Ovis aries: one gene and its partner. The protein of the gene in region 2 interacts with the protein of the main gene of each other region in a pairwise test. Links are inferred from orthologs where the notes say so. Each region holds a gene or a part of one and is shown on either strand. Other genes may lie near its edges.

What was found. The genes of interacting proteins can lie anywhere in the genome.
Region 1: the proteins of CBX5 (region 2) and INCENP interact in binary tests that used the Homo sapiens proteins (3 or more experiments, as listed by UniProt). The link is inferred for Ovis aries from reciprocal best matches to the Homo sapiens genes CBX5 and INCENP.

Annotation. Positions count from the first base shown.
Region 1 is NC_056074.1:37,182,115-37,184,765, forward strand, and holds part of INCENP (inner centromere protein), read left to right. Parts: intron 1-877; coding exon 878-956; intron 957-1,141; coding exon 1,142-1,246; intron 1,247-2,651. UniProt on the Homo sapiens protein: Component of the chromosomal passenger complex (CPC), a complex that acts as a key regulator of mitosis.
Region 2 is NC_056056.1:132,289,446-132,293,001, reverse strand, and holds part of CBX5 (chromobox protein homolog 5), read right to left. Parts: intron 2,244-3,556; coding exon 2,057-2,243; intron 1-2,056. UniProt on the Homo sapiens protein: Component of heterochromatin that recognizes and binds histone H3 tails methylated at 'Lys-9' (H3K9me), leading to epigenetic repression. In contrast, it is excluded from chromatin when 'Tyr-41' of histone H3 is phosphorylated (H3Y41ph).

The sequences.
Region 1 (2,651 bases), on a different chromosome or scaffold from region 2:
CAGGGAGGATAAACCACAATCACCGTTGGCCGAGAGCTGTATGGGGCCCTGTGCCTGTGTGTAGACATAGAGAACTCTGCCTGTGCGAGTGTAGACACACGGCAGACCTTGGCCCAGGCCCTGCCTCCACCTCCTGGGAAACACCAGGCGTCCGTCTGCGTGGGGGGTCCACCGCCAGGGGGCTCACTGCATCGGGGCTGTCTCCTGTGCTTGAGGAGTGGCACAAAGGTGTCCTTTGACCTGTGGGCAGAGCCAGAGACAGGAGCCTGGGAAGGGAGCAGAGGGTGGCAGCTGGTGTGCTTTTAGAATCGGATGTGTGCTGGGCAGCGCCGGGGGCTTCGAGGGGACGGACGATGGTTTGGTGGTCATAATAATTGGCAGCTACACGCCTTCCACCCGTTTCTGTTTAAACCTGTGGCCGGTGTACCAGCAGCTCCACCTCCAGAGGGGCACACAGGTTCAGAGAGGTTCCGTGACTTGTTCAGGGTCATCCAAGCTAGTACACGGAGGTGGCTTGTGAGCAGCCCCGCCCAGCTTCACATCAGGCCTGGGCCTGGGTGTGGGCCTGCGGTCAGGACGAGTGGCAGTGACTCAAAAGACCTCATTTCACTGTCCTGTCAACTCTGGTTGAAAGGGGCTGGGTTCCCATCGTACGGCAGATAAGAGCCAGGTGCAGAGTTGTGGAGGAGGGGGGCCCAGCTTGGTGGCCTCAAAGCCCAGCACCCCCGACACGGCTGTGCACGCCAGCCCCCAGCACAGCTGCTGGCCCTCAGCTGGTGTGCCCACCCCGCCAGTGGGCTGGGGCGCCTGGCTTCCCTGGCAGGGACGGAACAGGGGCTCGGTTTCCTGCTCTGACTGGCTCTGGCTCGGTCCTCAGGGAGCTGCAGGAGCGAGAGAAAGCCTTGAGATTACAGAAGGAGCGGCTGCAACGGGAGCTGGAGGAAAAGAGGAGGAAGGTAACGGGGGGCCGGGCGTGTGGCTCTCAAGGGCTCTGCACTGAGCTCTGGGCTGGGGCGGCCTGGCCCCAGCGGTTCGGGCGGGAGCTGCTGTGCCCGCCGGGCTGCGCTGGGGTTGGCGCAGAGTGGGGGAGCGCACTCCCCTGGTCTGTGACATCCTGCCTCCCGCTGTCTCCGGGCCCCAGGAAGAGCAGCAGCGCCTGGCTGAGCAGCGGCTGCAGGAAGAGCAGAAGAAGGCCAAGGAGGCCGCGGGTGCCAGCAATAGTCTGAACGTGACCGTGGACGTGCAGGTGAGGCCCGGGCATCAGGGTGGAGAGGCCCCCTGGCTCTGATGATTCCCTTCCCAGGAGCTGGAGGCACAGGCTGAGTATATTAGGACTGTGAGAAAGGGGGGCTTCCCTGGTGGCTCAGCTGGTAAAGAATCCACCTGTAATGTGGGAGACCTGGGTTTGATCCCTGGGTTGGGAAGATCCCCTGGAGAAGGGAAAGGCTACCCACTCCAGTATTCTTGCCTGGAGAATTCCATGGACCATACAGTCCATGAGGTCACAAAGAATCCAACACGACTGAGCAACATTCACTTCCCTTCATGAGAAAGAGGAAGGATACAGTCAGCCCAAGTGTTTCCCCCCAACAACTATTTTTGATATATGTATTGTTCTTTATTCTGAAAGTAGAAAGTAGTTTAAAAACAAAAGAAACTGAGCTTTATAAAAGAATACAGAGCAAAAGAAAGGTGCCCTCAAAGGGTAAGTCTAAGTCTGGTGTATTTCCTTCTATATTGAAACATTCATAAATATTCTGTACACACTTTTTCTCACACACACACATATATATAGTTTTTTAAATGGGCCCAGACTGTACATTCCGTCTCAGTCTGTTCGTGCTGCTACAACAAATGACCCTAGACTGTGTGGCTGAAACAGCAGACATGCTGGGAAGGCCAGGGTCAAGGCGCTGGCAGGTGAGGGCCCTCCTCTGGCTCACAGATGGCCGTTTTCTCGCTGTGTCCTCACATGGCTGGAGGGGAGAGGGAGCTCTCTGGGGTCTTTTCTAAGGGAACTGATCCCACTGAGGAGGGCTGTACCTCCCAAAGGTCCCACCTCCAGATACCATCACACTGGGGATTAGGATTTAACATAGGAATGTGGGGGAAGAATACAAACGTTCAGTCCAGAACACATACCGTTTAGCAGCTTGATTTTTTTTCCCCCTCCTTTTTTTTTTTTGCTTCTTTAATGTGTTGTACACAACTGTTTCACCAGTTATTAATTGCTTCTGGTGGCTGTGTGCCACTTGGTACCAGAATTTCTTTAATCAGCCCTCCCCGACTAGCATTTAGGCTATTAATGCTGTTACAGATGGATGTAGTGTGAGGAAGGGTTTTCGTTGCAATCTACTTTAGGATGTTGAAAACTTGGAAGGTCGCTGAACCAGGTGGTTAAATTACAAATCATGGAGTTCCCGGTGCAGTGCCCTGCAGCCATTCAAAGGACATACACACATACACACTGACCTGGAAGAACATTTGAAACATGCTTTTACATGAAAAAGGAAGACATAAGAGTCATGTACGTGGCATGATTTTTTTTTTTTTCAATCAAAAAGCAACCCCTGAACGTTTTTCTTTCTTTTCCCTGTGAAATGAGGGGAGGTGGCCAGAGCCCGGCGCTTCTCAGCGTCAGGAGAGGCCAG
Region 2 (3,556 bases):
AGAGAAGAAAAATGTTCAAGCAGCTGAAAAGGAGCCGAGGCGAGGAAAATGCTAAAATCATCACACAGGCAGTAATCTTAAATCAGGCATAATGCCGACTAACAAATTTCCTCTGCAGTGGTCTAAAGAAAGAAACGAAATCCCCCCCTGCACCTTTAAAATATACAATCACCTATCTTACCAGCTGCCTACATGACAGCCATCAGCACTGCTGAGAATGCTGCCAGGGGCCCCAGATGAACATTACAATGTAAGGGACATGTGTGTGTGGGGGTGGTTTTCAAGGTCAGCAGCATCAAAAGGCCAGCATCCTGGCCTAGGAACCAAACTCTGCACTGGCCAGTGTCTCAAAGTCAGATTGCTCCTCCCCCCCCCCCACCCCCAGACTGCTCCTTTTTAAAAGGACATAAACGTTAGGTTGAGGAAATACACACTGAATGTCAAAAACGGCTACAGAAGTCATGCTGTGTTGTTTCTTGGTCTCTTTACTTAGCTGGAAAATGCATCAAATGACAAGAACCAGAATACAAAGGACTAATAAAAAAGTAAAACAGAAAGACAGACCCAAGTCTTAGCTCCTTAGAGAAGGGAAGGCATTTTCAAATTATCTACTAGTATGCTATATCATAATGATATACACACCTCACCAGAACAGGGGAGTTTTAAAAAATAAGATTGCAAAAAATAAAATTAATCAGGGAAACAAACAAAATACTAGCGTCCACTTTCACTGACAGCCTCCAATCTTTCATTCTTATTTCAATTCTTTTTGGAAAGTTGTTCTCCCATTTTCTCTCCTCTGGAGACCAGGAATCACCTGTGTAAGTCTCTAGAAAATACTAACGCATAGGTCCAACCCACAGAAATTTGAATTTTATTGGTCTGGAGTGCATCTTGGGCACCGGAGGCTTCTTTTTCCACAGCAATACTGGAGGCTTTTGAAACACCCGCCTGCCCCCCTTGCCATGAGTCTAATATGCAGCCAGGGCTGAGAACTAATGCTCTAGCAAGACGGGTATCCAAGGAGAATGAAGATAAATATGGATGCTTATGGCAGGGATGCTAGAAGATTCAGAAGCAGACTTACACTTTTATTTTATTAAACTTTAAGGGTATGATATATCCTTCACCACAAAAGACTTCACAACCTTGAAATTAATGAAAGGAATGGAAGCTGTGGGGGGTGATGGAGACACATGTGCACACATGGAAAAGATATAGACAAGAAAAAAAAAAGACAGGAACAGTGCTTATGGCTAGTTACTTAACAGCTATATATCAGAAGGATTAAAATAACTGAATCAAACCAAAGTTTCATAAACACATTTTCAAAAACTGAACAATAAAAATATTCATAAGGAAGATGAAAAGTAATTTATTTGAAGAATGCAAAAATACAATAGGATCAAGAGAGACTACACATGCCACTGAGCTGTTCACTTTAAGATGGTTAACTGGGGACTTCCCTGACAGTCCAGTGGTGAAGACTACGCACTTCCCATGCAGGGGCATGGGTTTGAGTCTGGTCAGGGAATTAAGATCCTACATGTGTTGGTGTGGCCATAAATAAATAATTAAAAAAAAAAATAAAATGGTTAGTTGTATGTTATGTGTTTTCACCTGGTTAAAAAAGAAAGAATATAAAGGGTTAAAGTTAAGTGCTCTCTTTGGAATAAAAGAAAAAAGTGAAGTAGTAGATATTTTAAAGCTTCTTTCTATCCCTAAAAAATTCACTGAAGACTCTCCATAAGACAACTCAGCCACCTATTCACAAAAAAGGCACTGAGTGGCTGAATGTTTTACAGGGATTTAATTTTGCCACCTTGACACAATTCAGTGGACACATAGTACATTTCTTACTCAGCCAGGAGGGGGCGCTGTAGTGGATCAACAAAACTCCCCGGGGAGCTCCTGTGTTCAACAATTTACCGTATAGGCCATCCCTAGAATAAAAACAACCAAAACAGTGCCCCTCTTTTTTGGGTGAAGCGAGGAGGAAGCACAGGAAGCAGAAGAGTGGGGGGTGGGGGGGAAGGAGAGGAGAAATGAAGCTTACCTCTCTCTTTTTTTTGGACTTAATATCATCAGCACTGTTTGAGAAATTGGATTTCCTCTTGTTACTTTCTGATTTCTCCCTGGGTTTGTTATTTTCACCCTCCTTCATCTTCTTATACTTTTTCATAAACTCAGAAATTAGCTCAGGGCAATCCAAGTTTTTCTCAGGTTCCCAAGTATTGTGCTCCCTGGGCAAGAATGGAGAAAAAAGGAAAGAAATGAAGAAGTTTTGGGGTAGGAGGAAATCCAATACCTTACTTTACAGAAGACAAATAGGCAAAAAGGGAATAGAATTCCTATGCTTAAAGGAGATAATCAATTTGATTCTAGAATCTATCCAATATATTGAGACACACACACACAAAAAAACTTGCACACAACTATAGCAGCATTTTAGGAGTCAAAGACAGAAAACAATTCAAATGCCTGCCAATAGGCGAACAGATAAACATAACATGGTATATCCATACAATGAAATACTATTCAGCAACAAAAAAGGGACGTAATACTAATATATGCTACAACACGGAAGCACTTCTAGACTGTGCTAAGCTAAAATAAACAGGTGCTGATCAGTCGTTCCTTGTGGCTGGGGCTTGCAATTAAATACAAAAATGTCCAAGGGAATTTGGGGAGGTTACGGAAATGTTCTGAAACTGGACTATGCTGAAGGCGGCACAGCTCTAAAAATTTACCACAAATCACTGAATTGTGTACTTTCAGTAAATGAATTTTATGGTATGTAAACTATGGCTCAATAAACCTGTTAAACACTCAAATATAAGTTCTGCTTTGTAAGTGGCAAATGTGATTTCATACATCATCTTTGCAAATCCTGGAGAGAGGACAATCTAATTCTAAATGCATTCCAGTTTACACTGTCTTAATTATGTTACTTATATTTCCAAGAAATGCCAGCAAATTGATGGAAGACTTCAGTAGTTAATTAGAAAAAAAGGCAGTAAGGGGTTAAATCATTAGAATATAAGCGAACCATAAAAAGGAAAAGACTCAAAACTGGGATTTGGAGCCCATTCATTCATTGCTCTGGATTCAGGTCTACTGTCACTAGGTAATCAAAATGCATTTCTATATTAATAAGCAAAAATAATTCAAGTTAAATAACTGTGTCTAATTAAACTCGGATCAAGGGGAGTCCTTCTATGAGGAAAATAAAGTTTGCATTCACAAACTTGTTCTCTGTATTTCTAGCATGGATTTTAGAAGTGCAAATCACTAATACCAAGAGCAGGTTATGTAATAAAAGCAAGAAATTTATCTTCTTTGGGAAAAACCAGACCAGGCATCCTCTTCACTCCTAGCCAGTGGCAGAGGTTCTTTCATTAAGAACTAGCTACATTAAGATATATCTGTACACATATCACAGACACAGTTTCTATAATCCCTTCACTGACTTAGGAAATATTTTTTACATTTATGCACTATTTATTTTAGATACTTCATTAAAAAACAAAAACGATGTAGTATCTTTAAATAAGAA